Coturnix japonica: one gene and its partners. The protein of the gene in region 3 binds, or shares a complex with, the protein of the main gene of each other region. Links are inferred from orthologs where the notes say so. Each region holds a gene or a part of one and is shown on either strand. Other genes may lie near its edges.

Region 1 (3,947 bases), on a different chromosome or scaffold from region 3:
CTGTACGGCCTGCAGAGAAGCACAGCTCACTGGGCTGCCCGCCACCCCCGGCTCGGTGCCCCCGTCCCCCCCTACCTGCTGATGACCTTCCACTCGCACAGCTGGGAACCGCTCACGTTCTGCATCAGCTGCTCGAAGGACTCCCAGCAGCGCTGTGTCAAGTTGGTGTAGATCACCTCTGTGTGGGGGTGGGCACTGAGCGCAGCCATGGGGCGGCCTTGGAGGGGTTTGGGGATGAGGAAAGGGGTCAACACTCACCCAACATCTCAGCCGTAAAGTTGAACACACGCGTCACTGGGGTTGTTCTGGCCGCTGGGGTTGTTCTTGCCTCCTGCCCAAAGCTCTCGGCCGTGGCACCCGCTCGGCAGAACTCATGGACCAGCAGTGCTGCAGGAGGGGGACATGCTGAGCACTGAGGAGGGGGAGCCACGGGTCTGCAGCAGTGATGGGAACGAGGAGGCCCAGGGAGGCGGTGGGGTGATGGGATGGAGGGTGACGGGGTGATGGGATGGAGGGTGACGGGGTGATGGGATGGAGGGTGACGGGGTGATGGGATGGAGGGTGACGGGGTGACTGGGGGCCACCAGCACCGTGGGGCCGTGCTGCACTCAGCGCCTGGCACTGGGGCAGGGAGCACCTATTTCCAATCGGGAAGAGGAAGTGCTGACCGCAGCGCAGCACAGCCACGAGACAGAGCCTCCTGCCGCCCCCCCCCGTCTGTGGAACTCACTGGCATGGGGCACAGCCCCTCAGGCCCCACCAGACCCCAGAATCAGGATCACTCCTGTCTGTTTTCCACCCTCGGTGTGGGCATGGCACACCACCCTGGTAGCTACTCTGCTGTGGCCTGTGCAGGCTGGCCGTGTGCTGTGGGCCGGCACAGCGGCTGTGCACTGGCACAGTTGTGGCAGCAAGGGCAGCCCACGTGCCCCCAGCGCCCAGTCCCCTGGCCCTGGCACGCTCCCTGCCCAGGGCACAGCTGCCATCCAGACCGGGTCCCCTCAGACGCTCCATCGCTGCCCACCAAGGGGAAGGGGCCGCCCACAGTGCCCGGTGGTGCTGGATGGCTGCCGTAGCACTGTGTCCCGCTCACCCAGCACAAGTCCTGCCTTGACCGGGGTGCAGCCGCGTGCTGTGGGGCCGAGCACTTACCGCAGAGCAGCAGGAGCCCTCGGGAGAGGCAGCCAGAGCCCATCTGCGCATACGGTGCCATCCTGCTGGAGCCTGCGGGCTAGCGACCGGGACAAGGATTTCAATGGAAATAACAGGAAGCAACTCCTTTCCTCTGACAGGGGCTGTTTGAACTACAGGAGACGTGTGAAAAATGAGATTACTTAGTGCTGCTCTGAGGCAGCCCTCCCCACAGGACCCCACCGCTGTGCAGCAAGTGTCGGACCCCCGGGCATCGCCCCACACCTCACCCTGGGCAGCAGAGGGGCTCCCGCAGCACGGCCGCTTCACAAGGCCGCTGTTTGTTTACTTGTGTATTTCTCTTTAATCCTGTCTGGGCTGGGTTGTGAAATCCCTCGTCTCCTGCGTGGAGGGCAGGCAGCCCGGCAGCGGGGGGAGTGGACGGTGGAGCAGGACGTCCCCGGAGGGTTCTGCTGGAGGCTCGGGGTCGTTACGGCCCCAGCCCCGTGTTCATGGCGCCGTGTGGCACCTGCCCCGGGGGCACGGGTGGGGCTGGAAGGGACGGCGGCGGTACCACGGGTGTGCGAGCCTCAAGCAGGCAGGAGGAGAGGATGGGGCGAGGGACTGTGGCTGCAGAGCTCCTCTTCATCCCGTGCCACCTCGGCTCCCACCTCAGGGCAGCGCGGTGCTGGCTCTGCAGGGTCCCCACCCGGGGATGGAGCTCAGGCCACGCGAGCTCATCTAACTGCTTGCCAAAGGCTGAGCTCCAGCCCAAAGCTTTCCCTTTAAAATCCACTCATGGGACTCACAGAGCACAAATCACACAGCAGAGAATTGCAGTTCATGGGGACCCTCCCTGCTTTGGAAGGATTCTATTGCTGTGCTGCACATTCCTGCTGCAACACACTGCACGTGCTATGTGCAGGCTGAGGCAGCCGCCACCCTCCTGGCACTTGGGAGCCCTTCAGCGGTACCGGGAGCCCACGAGGCTGCGGCACAAAGTCACAGCCCCATTCTGCACTTTGTTGTCACAGCCCTGGAGCTGCAGCCGGCAGCAGGAGCCTCTGCCAGGGTGACACCCGGTGATCTCAGCCGGCCACTCCTTGCACAGCCGGGGCAGTCTGCCAGCACCCACTGCTCCCCAGCCCCATTTTGCAAGCTCCCCCCAGCCCTTGGCTGCAGTGCTGTGAGGGGGACTCGACTGAGCAGCGGGGGAAGCATTTCCCATGTTCTGGGCTGGGCTGCAGCCGTCCCGAGCCCTGCTGCCAGCCTCGGCCCATGGCACAACGGGCACAGACGCAGCCTGGACCCCGCCTGCTGCTTTGACTCGCTCTGCAGCTGCCCACGTTGCGCTCTGGGGCTCAGCGCAGTGTGGGCAGTGAGGCTGCGGGGGTTGCGCTGGGTCCAACCCAGACCCCAGGTTCTGCCGGTAGTGGGAGCAGGAGCCGCAGCCCCGACGAGCATCTTCCCACCGGCTGCAGCTTCCCCCCGTGCCGGGGCGTATCACCGAGCTCATCTCGGCACCTTCCACCCGCGCTCAACCCAATGTCAGGGAAGGCGGAAGGTTCTGCCCGACTCAGCAGGACGGGCTCAAAGGCAGCAGATACGGCCAGGACCGGGGCTGAGCTGTGGGATGAGCAGCCAACGGCCCCGCTCACTGCCCGGACAGGGACCCGCGGGTTCCCCCCGCTCCTTCCGGCTGGGCGGAGGGGAAGGAAGGAAGGAAGGAAGGAAGGAAGGAAGGAAGGAAGGAAGGGGCCCGGCCGGGAGCGCGGCTGGGGAAGGGAGCGCCCGGCCGCAGCCCCGAGCAGAGCGGGGCCGGGCGGAGCCGAGTGGAGCCGGGCGGGGCCGGGCCGCGAGCGGCCGGTTCCGGTGCGGGGCGCCGCCCTTCCCGGTCGGAGCCGCAGCTCCGGGGCTGCACCGCGCGGGGCGGGGCGGCGGCGAGGGGCGGGGCTACGGCGGCGCATGCGCAGTGCGCGGGGAGCGCGGCCTCCCCCGGCGCGATGGCCGAGGAGTGAGTGCGGGGCGGGGCGGGGCCTGGGGTCCGGCGGGGGGCGGGGGGCGGCCCGGCACGGCGGGAGGGGCCCGGGAGGGAGCGAGGGGTCGGCGGGGGTGGGGGATGGAGCGGGGCGGTAGTGCCGTGGTAGTGCCGTGGTAGTGCCGTGGTAGTGCCGTGCCCTGTGGGGGCTGGCGGCTGCTCGTAGGGGGCAGATCTAAGTCCCCTGAGGCCCCGTGGGGCCCCGTGGGACCGTGGGCTGTTGTATGGGGTGCGCCGGGCCCGATGGACGGGGCAGCGCCCGGGGGTTGGGTGAGGCCTGGGAGCGGGCACCGGGCGGGGCAGCGGCTGAGGCCTGTCCCGGACACTCCGCAGTGTCACCGTCCCGGCAGCCACCGGGGGTCCCCGTGTCCCCTCGTGGCTGGAGGCTGCGGTGATGGGGGCCCAGGGAACCCCCGTGGGTGGAGTGGAGCGGCCCGCTGGGTACGTACAGCCCGGGCCGGGGACTCAGACTCCTGGATGGGAGCTGAAGCGTCCCTTGGGCTCACAGGGCGATGCCCGATGCCCAAACCCCCGGCTCCAACTTCTCCATCAGGTCGCACTGTGTATTCCCAGCCAGGAGCTGTCCTGTGCTGACAGCCTGCGCAATGTCCTTCCCAGCCTCCTGGCAATGAGATATTCTGAGCTGGATGTAACACTGCTCCTGACATGTTGGCCTCCCAGCGCCCTGTGAATCGAAAGATTACAAGCAGGAAGGAGAGCTGCTTGGACAGCGACAAGACAAGGGGGACTGTCCATAAGCTATAGAGGGCAGGCTTAA
Region 2 (3,935 bases), on a different chromosome or scaffold from region 3:
TTGTAGATGCATCACTACTTCTGAGTTGCTTAGATCCTACCCTACAGTTGGTAGATAACTTCTAAGCATCTACACTTCATATGGGAACAGTATCAGTTACGTGCCTATGTGTCAGCTGCCTCAGCTCACAGATTCCTTCATCCCAACAGATGTGCATACAGGTCACAGCAAATCCAACTTCTATAATTTCTGTGCTTCCAGGAAACACACACAACTGCCTTTTTGCCATCTTTGCAAAGAGGGACAGTACAACAGATGGTTCTACGTAATGATAATATTTTAAAAGCCATAAACAGAAAGACAGGCAGAAGGCAGTGGTGTGAGTATGCAGAAGTGAGGTTCCAGTCCCTTACAAGACAAGCTTCCTATAGCATTCAGAGAGCGCTAACACTGAGGACTCCTGTCCCACTCCGCAGGTTTCAAGAGGTAAATCTATTTCACGTGTCGCGTCTCCCATAGTCAGCAGGGGTCACTACCGCAATGGAGCTATCCCAGACTTGGAGGAAAAATATACACGAATTTATTACTGAGAGCTTTCTTAACGATAACTAATACTCAGAGAGGGAAAAAAAAAAAAGAGCATTATAGGTAAGAAAACATTAGGCAACGGCTACTACAAGGAACAAAAGATTGTAAAGATAAAAGATAGAAAATGGGGAAAGTGACACAGATGGACAGATGTACAAACTGCGAAGCAAAGAGGTTCACCACTCTTCAAACCAATGACGTCTTGGTGTCAGATTCTGATCTTTAGTAGTGGTAGTTCACAGGAGGTTGTGTTGTTCAGCTGATAAGTAGGACAACAGTACAACCTCTTACTTATAGTCCAAAGTGGTCGAGCCTGCTCAAGAGAGTGACAGCTTCTGGCTTCAGGATCACAGCAGGAACTCCTTTGCTCCTGTCTTCCATGCTTTGTAAATTTAAATCAGGAGATAAGAGGAAGCAGGGAGACGTCAGCTTGTATCATCTTCACAGGGTACAGTGGTATCATTTCCCAGTCTTCCGTATCAAGCTGGAATCCTTTGCTCACAGGACAAGTTTTCAGCCAACAGACACTCCTGGGCCCTCCCATTCGAAGGAAAACATTCCCAAGAAACACTGTCAAATGTAAAACTATCCACAAAGTGATGTTGATTGACTAGTGTTGACTTGAGATACTCCTTACCAGTCTTGGACAACTCTTCAGCTTACAGAGAGTTTATGGCTCTCTGGTTAATCAAAAGAAGCCATTAGAAAAAAGGGAGAAATACACACACAAGATTTCATGTCTCAAAATTTTCAGGGCTCCCAAATGGCTTTTCTACCAGGAAATGTCTATGATTTAGTCTAGTTTTTGAATATATCTATCCTTCCTAACTTATAGCAACAGTAACACATTATCAGTCATCAGATATCCTTAAAACCATTTAGTTAGTGCTATTAGGCAAGCAACAAGCACAGTCAAAAACTGCCTGGCACAATTGATTTACCTGTTCCTTTCTGGTGAAAAATAACTGCTAGTTTTCAGAACCACAGCAACATTGCTCCTCATTACACGCTCTCCAAAATCTTCTGTAATTTCACATTGCAAGAGTCACAGTAACATCAGGAGGATTTCCCACTCAGAAAAATTACTGGTTGATTCACTAAGCTCAAGGTTGCACAAATTATCATGTGCCAAGGTAGGTGTTAGCCTTTTTTTACTATTATTATTCCTCAACAGCTGGAAAAGGAAAAAAAATCCAAATGATCAAGGTAAGGCTTTAGCAGTCCTCAAGACATGGAGAATTCCAAACTCTATTTATTTGGCATTACATTCTTGTGACAGGGAGATCAAGACAACATTACCTAACACTGTCAGTGTAACAGTCAATATAGTTACTGGTATTTCCAGTGTTTACCAGCTTTACATTTTGGAAAGAGTAAGAAGCTAGCAAACAAAGTTTAAGTAGTACTCAGTCTAAATCTACAAGGCTGATTTTCTTTTCTCCTATCCATGACACATTAGCTGCATCTTGGAGGTTACTGTGGAGTGAAGTTCAGAGCTGTCATCTGACACAAACTTCTGACTGACCACAACATACTGTATCTCAGAGTCCTAAGACAACCTACCTGATGATGAATAATTAAATAAATAAATAAACAAGCCACTCAAGTAGTTCTGGAAATAGAGCTGATCTCTCCTTAAGTGCAAGGTCTGAAAGATATCTGCACTTTTACCACTGCTCGTGAGCAACCCAGCCACTCTAACACAAAATAACCCTTCCTTTACCAGTGAAAATTTTCCCCTCTCACGCACTCGGAACTGCTTCACAGACACCGGACTGGGGCTCCCAGCTAGAACGGCAAGCAGTGCTGCTCAGTTCAGTTTCGGGAGGGATGCACATACCATACCGTACTGCAGCGAACAGATCTCCCTGCGAGATGCTGCTCGGGGGCAGAAGCCGCGCCGTACCCGCAGTGCAGCCGCCCTGCAGCCGCTCAGCCCCGCGCCTGCGAGGGCGGAAAGCCTAGGGACGACAAGCTGCTACCCACTACCCCGCCTCGCCCTGGCCCGGCGTCCCGCTTACCCCAAAGCAGCAGGACGGGAAGGTGCCGCCGGCAACGGACGGACGCCTCCATCCCAGCGCGGATGGGGCCGCGAAGGACGGAGCCCACATGGGGTGATGATCCGTAGCCGCGCAATGCCACGGCCGTCTCACTCCCTCCCACAGGGCAGGCTCTCCTTCACGCCCCGGCGGGCGGCCCCGGGCGGCGGCGAGGCGGGTGAGGGAGCGCGCAGCGTCTCCGCCCTCGGGGTGCTCCCGGGGCGGGGCAGGGCGGGCTGCGAGGATCCGAGCGGGGGATGCGGGTGGGGGTGCGCCAGGAGCGTGCGCTTTCCGTGAGCATGAGTAGCGGGCGGGTGCATTTGTGTGCGGTTATGTACGACACTGCACAGACAGGTGTACAGGAGTGTGCCTGTGTCCATGAATGTGGGTGCATGTGTGTGCATTCATGTGCACAGCCATGCATATGCCTGTGCAAATCCATACGCATGCATCCATGTGAACACATGCATATACACATGAATGAGTGTATGTGTAGGGAGCCTGCTTTGGCAGGGGGGTTGGACTCGGATGATCTCTAGAGGTCCCTTCCAACCCCTACAATTCTGTGATTCTGTGAGTGAATATACATCCATGTGCATGCATGTGCGCACCCATTTGCAAGCATTTGTACATCCATACATACGGGTGTGCAGCTGTATGGTTCATGTGTGCACCTATGCACATACATCAATATGCACGCCCACATGCACATGCAACCATGCCAGCAGGCCCCCCAAAAGCCACAGCAAGCAAGCAACATGATACCACTCCCAAGAAACTGAACTAAAAGGGGTGCTTCACTCTCTCACACCCACAGAAAACATGCATGCTACCAGCATCCAAGAGGGGAGAATGGAACCCTTCACCTGCTCCAGTTGAAGCAGCCCCTACCTCCTGCCTCTGCAACCCAGCAGTGGGTTGAAGGCATGAAGGTCTGGAGAGCTACATGTGCTAGCTCACTTGCAGCACCAACACAGTAACTCACTAATATCCAGAGCTGAACATGTGCAGAAATCTAACTTAATACCCAGAACAGAGCAGCCACAAGTTCCATAAAGATGCTTGATTTATTTTTGTGTTGTTTCATCTCTGTCTGGCCCTGCCCACAGGGAGAATGGTAAGACCCTCATTTTTATAAATACTTAAATGCTGTGAACTTGAGTTCTTTCTCTCTCTGGGAAATAAGGATCTCTGCAAAGAAACATCAGGCTGAGAACCTGCTAAAGAAGCCTTTTCTAAGCTAGAAGTATTTGTACTGCTCTAGAATAAAAAGCCACAATTCACCTCAGTAACTATCTTTCAGTCAAACATTAAATCACAGACATCATTGTAACAGTACACTGTGAAACTAAACTTCAAAAAGATTTC
Region 3 (3,508 bases):
TAATAATAATGACACAGACTGACGCTCATGAATTTCTTGTGAACAAAATGTATCCGGAAACCACAGGGAATGTTCATTGCAATTCATACGACTGGAGATTAAAGAGTAAGGGGAGGAAGCGAGATCTATGGGAAATGAATATTAGCCAAATAGTTAACGCTTAAGTAAATATTGCTGGTCTGATAAAATGATGGAAGAACGCAACGGGATGAAAGAAACTCAAGGTTTGGTGCCATTAAAACATGCAACTGCACTAAGTGCAAAAAAAAATGAACAGACGGATGTGAAAGAAAAAAGGACAGGACTGTACCTGTTCCTCTGCCAACAGTGTTGGCTAAGTCCTGCTTCTTTGTCGGGAATTTATTATCCGTTTGTTGTGGTTTTTCTTTCAATTGTGAGTTGCAAAAATTGCACCGAGAAAATTTGCGTGCGTATGCATATATATTTAGGCTTTCTACTGTGTCTATCTTAAATGCTAAAGCCCTCTAAGTATACTCTCATGGGTGAAGCTCAGTTCACAAGACCTTATTCTATTCAAGTTGACAGAGAATGCTTAAGAGCTGCAACAGGGACCCATTCCATAAAATAACAAAACATGGTGTGATTCTTGGGCAAAAAGATGAAGAAGGTAGTTATTGGAACTAACTAATCGTGATTTCTCAAAAGTACGCTTCTTATTCAAGAAATTGTGACCGAGGCGCAACAAGCTATTAAGCTCTGACTTTCTATGTTTTTCAGGTGTGCTATCTCCTTTATGGCTAGAATAGACATGATCCATAAACACAAAATAATACGATAAAAATGATCACTTTACCTCTCCGTTGAAGAAGCAGAAAATTGTTGCTACCAGTAGACCCTGTAAAATAAAGATAACTTTCTTTATTTCACTTGTGCATGGATTTTTTCAGGTCTGAAAAACAATCAGAGGTTCCCAATACTATTCCGATAACATAGCAAACGGAACGTTCTATAAATCTAATATCTGCATCCAGTTTATAAGAACACTCTACAAACTAGTAATAGACCATGGTATGTTTCTATTCTTTAAACAAAAAAAAAAAAAAATTCAGTACACTGAGAAAGCTCAAGTTGTTGATGGGACTATTGCATAAAGGTCTTTATATTATAAAGTAAAATGAATGGATCGTTTTTTCCTTTGTTTGTTACATATGCTGTGCCCCGGTGGCGCAATGGTAGGAATGCCGCCTTGCAACACTGGGGCCCGGGGTTCGAATCCCCCCTGTGGCACAAGTGGTAGAAGTGCCGCTCTGCTACACAGAGGCTCGAATCCCGGGGGTTGGACTCGATGATCTCTACGGTCCCTTCCAACCCACACGAGACTATGATACTATGATATGATGATATGCTGACAGATGGGCAAAACATATTTAATTCTTACCTGGTAATGCATAAGGATGTGCACCACGTAGTCATAGACTTCTTCTGTGATTCGACCTTCCGGTCGCCACGGAAACAGCACAAATTCGATGCCGAGCAGGGGAACCAGAATGAGGGTGGCTCGCACCGCTTTCATGTATAGGTTGGATTCTGCCTTGTGGGTGTCTTTCAGCTTGGTTATGAGCACACGGACGATATTTAACAAGAAGAAAAGATTCACCTGTTGAAAAAGAAAAGGACAATGAAGCTATTCTGAAAATAAACCGCAGGCTACTTTTTAATGCTAAAAGCCCTAAGACTAAAAAGGCACGCAGCACGTACACAACATTCTGGTCACACAATTACCAAAAGTTAAGACTCTCTGAAAACACACTAAAGAAAATGAGGCTGACTGGGCTCTGACATCTAATCCCAGAGCGTCTTCTTCTATCCTTTCAAGGGAGTGTCAACCGAAGTTCTACTTCCAGTGTTTACAATCCGTTTTCTCTGCTAGTACACTAATAGTACAAATCTGAATGATGCTTACGAGGAATTTAAACTGCATCTTGTGAAAAACAGAGTGGCAGTTGCTGTTTTGTACAAAAGAAGGAATAGAAATGAACTGCCAGCCGTGACTGATGCAGAAGAAGCGCCTTATAGAAGGCCACAGCTGCAGGCCGATATACACAAAGATCTGACATGCGGTGCAAAGCTGAAAATGCTTAATATTTTGCATCCGGTTGTGCATTTTAATAGCCCTGTATGAACTATAATTACATTCTTTGGAATGACCTTTATCAGCATTAACTTTTCTGAGAAAAGGTAAGCAAAGCACACAGATATCACCACAGCATCCGTAACGGCAGTCTGATTGAAATTAGCTCCTAATAATTCAGCGATCCATTGTGAATGTAATACATGCAACTCGAGCGCGGCTCTCTGCAGTTGAGATCCTTACAGCAGTGCAAAAATCTGTTTCCGTATATGGTTTAAAATCTACCCTTCCTCGTCTATATACATCTCGGCGATCGCTCACTTCATCTTAAAAGCTTACATTGGAAAACTAATCAATTTCCATTACGGATGCACTTTTATTTTAAAAACAATTGAATTTACCTTGGCCCTTCTGTCCAAAAACTTCCATTCACTTTTACAGTTTAAAAAACAATACTGTCACAGTAATGCTCTCTTAAGATTTCAATGTAAAAAGGGGGGGGAAACATCACTCTTTTTTGAAGACCTAGGGTACTAATGTGAAAGGTTGTCCTGAGCTCCACAGCAGTAAGAGAACTGTGTCAAATCCCTATCGTTAATATTTATTTATTTTGCAATAAAATTTTAAATAGTCCCATGTTTTATGGCTGAAATAACAAACTGACCTGAGTGTTAACTATTTATTAAAAGATTGCACCTTGTAGGTTGGCCTGATAAAGAATGACATTCTCCCATCTCTGTATTTTAAACAGGCTTCTCATAAGGACTATCCTTTTTTCTTTTTTTAAACTGTGAATTTGAATAATCTATAGAGAATAATAAGTAAAAGAAATCTGACAAGTTCGGTGTTATTACATAGTTACCGTAGCTGTTAAGAGCTTCTTGGGGAATAGTAGTGAATATCTGCTCATTTAGTTTCAAAACCAAAACCAAACCAAAACAAACAAACAAAAAAATAAAAACCAAAAAACCAAACTGCAAACACAGCTATCCATACTAACTGTCAGTCGGCATATTAGAGCTCATTCTCGATTCGAAAAGCAATGTCTTCACATATGTATATGCATATAAATACATACATACACGCTCAACAGTCTAAGAATGCAAATAATGAGACAAGCAGCAATGGTAGGGTTCTATTTTAATCCATTGTAAAACCCCTACAGAAACTACACTTGAGACGCTATAAAAATAAAGCTAAAGGCCCCCTCGAGAGAGTGCTGCCAATCCAAGGACCGTGCCCAAGGAAATGAGAGGCGAGACTGCTGTCTAGCATCCCACTCTAGAGGGTGGAGTAATAGCGTCTAGTTCATTTATCTCCTCTTTGCATCATCTGTCCTTCCTGCCAACAATTATATAGAGTAAAAAAGAGAAGCAGGGGAAGGAAGAAAACATCAGAAAGACAGAAAAGCTCCTT
Region 4 (4,183 bases), about 3.4 Mb from region 3:
GCTGCACCATGAGACCACAGCTCAGCACGAGGAGCTGCACTGGCACGGCAGCCAGGGCTCAGCAAAGCCCCTGCACTCTGAGAGCTGAGCTCTCTGTGTCTGCCTCGGCACTCATACTCTGCCGGCACATCTGTTAGCACAGCTTGTTTGATCTTTCCTTTCTGAAAAAGAAAATCCACACCTGCTTCATCAGAAGCATCAGCGACCTCAGCATTCACCACTCCACTGTCTCAGCGGTCACCCCCAGTGTAGCCACATCTGTGCACAGACATGGAGCAGGAAGGAACAAACAGGCTTTTTTTCTTTTAATCTTTCTTCTTTTTTTTTCTTCACCCAACTAGAGCAGGACATACTTTAAAATAAAAGCCTGCAAAAGGACACAGCGAAAGAAATGCATCCCCAACTCAGCGCCAGGATTAGCTGCCATCTATCACAGCTAAGTGGCTTACACTGAGGCAGACGTCCTGCTGTGAGTGCTGGAACTGGAAAAGAGCAGCCTGGAGTACCACCAGCTCCCGCTCTGTTATTTCCAAAGCCCCTGAACCCAAACCACGTGGCAGAAGGTGCAGTAAAAGAACGAGCAGAAGTCCTGCAGCCAAACCAGGAAAGCCTCCTGGCCATGACTTCCTTCCACCTGGATGTTTCACCAGTTAAAGAACAGCAAAGATTGGGTTTAGGGCTCTGCACAGATGGGAACAATGCGAGTGACCACAGGAATAAGGTGGGGGAATTCCACCCCTGGAAGGGGAAAGCAGCAGGGATCCCATCACGAGGGACACTGCCTCGAGCTCCCCGTGGGGTCATGTCCCAGAAGCCGGCTTACATTTGTGACCCTAGAGAAGGGAAAGGGACTGCAGACAGAAATCTTACAGCAGCAGGAGCTGCTGTGTGCTGGCAGTGGTACCTCACAGTCCCACCTAGCAGAGCAGAGTGCACTTTGCCTGCCCTAACTCCCCCTGAACGAGCTGCAGCTACAGAGCAGTGCAGTTAATGACAGCGCTGGGATGAGCCCAGTGCAGCCCCATGCATTATTCAGCAGGGTACCAGGAGAAAACCTGCACTAAAGTGCAAACGGGGAAAGAACAAGGCTATGTTTCCTCAAGGAGCACTTCAGTGTCACGCAAAAGCAGCTGCATGGCACTGTGCGGCTTCTTTTTTAAGCAATCCTAAATATGCTTCTCACACAAAGTACCAAAGCACAGTGGTAAGGTTTTTAATGAGTATACTCGGGTTATAAGCCAATCCTCTACCTGTTGCGCACGAAACCCTACCAACATCGAGGAGACCTCACGCCTTGTGAAAGCAGATGGCTGATGCAGGAGTTCCCAAAGTGACCGGCGGTCTCCCACCTGCAAATCCATCCCCAGCTCAGAAGCATTGGCCAGAAGGAGCACTTCTGGCTGGCTCCTCTCCTCTCGCCTGGTTAAGAAATGGCAAAACGGAGAAAAAAAACGGAGAGACCCCTCCTAGAGCGGTTTCCCTGTCGTTAATTTCTGCACTGGAAGCGAAAGGCAGGGGATGTCTTCTGACGTGAGCGCTCTTCAGTGCATCCCACCGCGCACAGAGGACCGTGTCGGACCGCATCGCCGGCAGCACACACAGAGCCCAACTCCCATCGCTCCTCAGCACTTGGGAACGGCCGCTCCTTCCCGTTCCCCCCGCAGCCAACGCGGAGCGGGCAGAGCCCGCACAGCCCGCGTTCAGGAGCCTCTCTCAGGGTCCCCCTCTCCCCCCTGGATGCCGGGGCAGCCCAACTCACCCAGCACGAAGCAGAGGAAGCGGCGGGGCAGCAGTGCCATGGCCAGCAGCAAGGGGCCCGGCTGCCGCCTCGCCTGGAGCTGCGGCGCGATCGTGCCCGTCCTTGGTGCTTGTTTCGTGTTAACAGAAATCAAGCGAGTTCGCACAGCTCCACCTGCGGGAATCGGCAGCGCTCTGCGTTACGGACATCCCCGTTTTCTCGTCGCAGCAGAACGCCTCCCTCCGTAAAGCACCGTGCCCATCTCGTTGCACAACTAGGGAGCACGGAGGGCGGTGTGTGCTGTTAGGGATGCGGTAGGGCGAAGCGCTCAGCTGGGTGCGGGCAGGGAGGAAACCAAAGCGGAGGCTGGACCCGCAGCTTCGGGATAAAGCAGCAGCAGCGCCTGGCAGCGCAGCACCGGGGCTTGGGATGCGTTTGCCACCACGGCGAGGGGAGAGCAAATAGTGAGGGGTGGAAATAGCAAAACGACAGCACAACTCTGGGCAGAAGGAATCTCAACCTTTATTCACGGTAAGGCTGCTTTCGGCAGCACGGGCAGCCAGGAGCAAAGTACAGCCAAGGGACAGAGATGGACAGCAATGAGTGGTATGACAGCACACGCCCGCCAGTGACAATCAGTGCTGGCTTCTTCCCTCAGCCCCACAGCAGGCACACACCCAGCTGCCTCTCCTTCCGTCGCCAGAAGAGGATGTAAAACCACGGGAGCAGCTCCACGGGCAAACAAAAGGCTGGGTGCTCCCGTATCAACCCAAAGCAGACCTCGGGGAGGGTCTGTGTGGGAGAGGCTTTCCCCTGCACAGTGCTATAGGACCCAAAAGAAAAGCTTCTAGACCCAGCCCTCCTGGGCAAGGCTCTGCTCAGAGCAGCCGCTGCAGCACGGGGCTTATGTAAGCGCACTGCCAGCGCCGTGCGATCTGCAAGCCGGCCCTTGCTGCCTCTCCCTCCCCTGCCTTGCGTGAAAAGGATACTTGACATTTCTGCCCACTATTTGGAACTGTTATCTGGAAAGCACGTAAGCGTGCCGGCTGTTTGTTAGCATGGCAGCTATCACCGTGCCTGACACAGAGCGGCACCGGGAGCCGGGGCTTGTGTGCTTCAGCAGAAAGAAGTCCTGCTGCTATAAGTCTCAACGTGCTAAAATGGGAGCCTTAAAACCTCATAAGAAACAGGGGGAACTACACAGAACAACCAAACTGGGAAGAATTACTCAATATCTGTCTGCACAAAAAGCTGAAAAGAACTTGGGGCTATGTTCGGTCAAACAGAACTGCAAACCAAACAGCAATGCTAAGCGAGTTGTCACGAAATCAAACAAACAAGAAGGACAGAACAATCCCGGAGCGAGCTGGACTGCAAAAATCTGTCATGTGAAGTGGTCGGTTCTTCATTACATCATCTACGCAGAAAGGAAGATAAAGGAAAAGCAGATTAAGTTTTGCCTGAACACGTGTAAGGCGAAACAAAACAGCGGCGTTGTCAGCATCCCAGAGCACCACTAGAGGCTGTATTGCTTTTACTATGGAGGGCAGAAGTTTGCATGCAGGAGCGAGGTTTCCTAGCCCTGAGAACTGCGTACCAAAAAGTTATTACGCTAAAATGCAAAGGGACAAGCAAACTTATTCTGTTCAGTACCTACAGCAGGAATAAATATCACACAAGAGAAAAAATCGTCAGGTTTTAAACCAGAATCGAGCCTGGAGTTCCTCTGTGAAATGCTGCACAGGAACTGGCCACTAGATGTCACCTTTGGCCAGAACATTGTTAATTTACTCCACTACGTTCATCGATAAAACCCGCACAGTGAAACCCCCATTGCACCCAGGTTGATGAGTGCACAGAGCCAGCAAGCTGCTCTGCTCACAGACGTTCTGCAGCAGCACCTCATCTTTAGAATCTGCTGTTGTAGTGATTCATACTCATTGTGCAGGAACAGGTTCCTAGGGAGCTCTCATTGTCAGGCTATGCAGCTAGATTAATTCACATCTATGTTGTAGGCTGGAATACTTACTGATCGCCACTGCCTTTCCCTGTACAAACAGCCGTTGGTTTCCTTAGGATTACAGAGGCCCTTTCCATAATAGAACTGATGGACAAGCCACTTAGGACACCATTATTGTTCTTCCTCACCTCCAGCAGAGCATCCACGATTTTATCTCTGTAGGAGCAACATAAACAGCTGCTGACATCACTTGTTGTACCATTATTTAGCGCTCAGCTTCTCCTGGCTATAGTATTCATTATACATCAGGGCAGAAATGCAATCCAAGTACTCTCACCTGCTGGCTTCTGGATGAACGTCTTTAAGTTTCTTCATTAATTTGGCAAAGCTGCTCAAGTTCAGTGCTTTAGGAGACATAAAGGCTTCTAATGAATTAGTGGAGGCAGGAGCAGCAGGTGCTTTTGGCAGGGAATTTCCTCCAGTAG

What was found. The genes of interacting proteins can lie anywhere in the genome.
Region 1: the proteins of CALCRL (region 3) and RAMP2 are in contact, whole or in part, in a crystal structure (PDB 3AQF), measured with the Homo sapiens proteins. The link is inferred for Coturnix japonica from reciprocal best matches to the Homo sapiens genes CALCRL and RAMP2. Residues at the interface, in NP_001258680.1 of Homo sapiens: Arg38, Asn39, Ile41, Met42, Thr43, Gln45, Tyr46, Glu47, Tyr49, Gln50, Lys51, Ile52, Met53, Gln54, Trp69, Asp70, Gly71, Arg119; in NP_005845.2 of Homo sapiens: Trp86, Ile89, Tyr93, Ser94, Arg97, Leu109, Gly110, Pro112, Glu117, Ile120, Phe121, His124, Gln125, Phe128, Ala129, Cys131, Ser132, Leu133, Val134.
Region 2: the proteins of CALCRL (region 3) and RAMP3 are in contact, whole or in part, in a cryo-EM structure (PDB 6UVA), measured with the Homo sapiens proteins. The link is inferred for Coturnix japonica from reciprocal best matches to the Homo sapiens genes CALCRL and RAMP3. Residues at the interface, in NP_001258680.1 of Homo sapiens: Arg38, Asn39, Met42, Thr43, Gln45, Tyr46, Glu47, Tyr49, Gln50, Met53, Trp69, Asp70, Ser117, Arg119, Thr120, Phe228, Leu231, Ile235, His238, Thr239, Val243, Val245, Lys249, Gln250, His251, Trp254, Tyr255, Phe257, Leu258, Phe262; in NP_005847.1 of Homo sapiens: Trp56, Cys57, Leu59, Phe62, Ile63, Tyr66, Glu67, Thr70, Cys82, Tyr83, Pro85, Asn86, Pro87, Leu88, Gln90, Ile93, Thr94, His97, Arg98, Cys104, Thr105, Val106, Asp107, Arg108, His110, Leu111, Glu112, Asp113, Pro114, Val118.
Region 4: the proteins of CALCRL (region 3) and RAMP1 are in contact, whole or in part, in a cryo-EM structure (PDB 6E3Y), measured with the Homo sapiens proteins. The link is inferred for Coturnix japonica from reciprocal best matches to the Homo sapiens genes CALCRL and RAMP1. Residues at the interface, in NP_001258680.1 of Homo sapiens: Asn39, Met42, Thr43, Gln45, Tyr46, Glu47, Tyr49, Gln50, Lys51, Ile52, Met53, Gln54, Thr68, Trp69, Asp70, Gly71, Arg113, Arg119, Thr120, Phe228, Leu231, Ile235, Thr239, Val243, Ala244, Gln250, Trp254, Tyr255, Leu258, Phe262; in NP_005846.1 of Homo sapiens: Trp59, Ile63, Tyr66, Arg67, Ala70, Phe83, Trp84, Pro85, Asp90, Phe93, Leu94, His97, Gly98, Phe101, Arg102, Cys104, Pro105, Ile106, Ser107, Gly108, Arg109, Ala110, Val111, Arg112, Asp113, Pro114, Ile118, Leu119, Phe122, Ile123.

Annotation. Positions count from the first base shown.
Region 1 is NC_029542.1:4,631,951-4,635,897, reverse strand, and holds the start of RAMP2 (receptor activity-modifying protein 2), read right to left. Parts: upstream 2,804-3,947; 5' UTR 1,422-2,803; intron 1,365-1,421; exon of another isoform or gene 1,305-1,364; 5' UTR 1,214-1,304; coding exon 1,153-1,213; intron 388-1,152; coding exon 259-387; intron 179-258; coding exon 76-178; intron 10-75; coding exon 1-9. Other genes in the region: histone-lysine N-methyltransferase EZH1, read left to right, coding at 3,564-3,610. UniProt on the Homo sapiens protein: Accessory protein that interacts with and modulates the function of G-protein coupled receptors including calcitonin gene-related peptide type 1 receptor (CALCRL) and calcitonin receptor (CALCR). Required for the transport of CALCRL to the plasma membrane.
Region 2 is NC_029517.1:42,832,577-42,836,511, forward strand, and holds the start of RAMP3 (receptor activity-modifying protein 3), read right to left. Parts: upstream 2,804-3,935; 5' UTR 2,602-2,803; coding exon 2,550-2,601; intron 1-2,549. UniProt on the Homo sapiens protein: Accessory protein that interacts with and modulates the function of G-protein coupled receptors including calcitonin gene-related peptide type 1 receptor (CALCRL), calcitonin receptor (CALCR) and G-protein coupled estrogen receptor 1 (GPER1).
Region 3 is NC_029522.1:5,191,142-5,194,649, reverse strand, and holds part of CALCRL (calcitonin gene-related peptide type 1 receptor), read right to left. Parts: intron 1,619-3,508; coding exon 1,400-1,618; intron 857-1,399; coding exon 815-856; intron 1-814. UniProt on the Homo sapiens protein: G protein-coupled receptor which specificity is determined by its interaction with receptor-activity-modifying proteins (RAMPs). Together with RAMP1, form the receptor complex for calcitonin-gene-related peptides CALCA/CGRP1 and CALCB/CGRP2.
Region 4 is NC_029522.1:8,560,584-8,564,766, forward strand, and holds the start of RAMP1 (receptor activity-modifying protein 1), read right to left. Parts: upstream 2,804-4,183; 5' UTR 1,800-2,803; coding exon 1,760-1,799; intron 1-1,759. Other genes in the region: RNA-binding protein 44-like, read right to left, coding at 3,152-3,155, 3,768-3,914, 4,036-4,183. UniProt on the Homo sapiens protein: Accessory protein that interacts with and modulates the function of G-protein coupled receptors including calcitonin gene-related peptide type 1 receptor (CALCRL) and calcitonin receptor (CALCR). Required for the transport of CALCRL to the plasma membrane.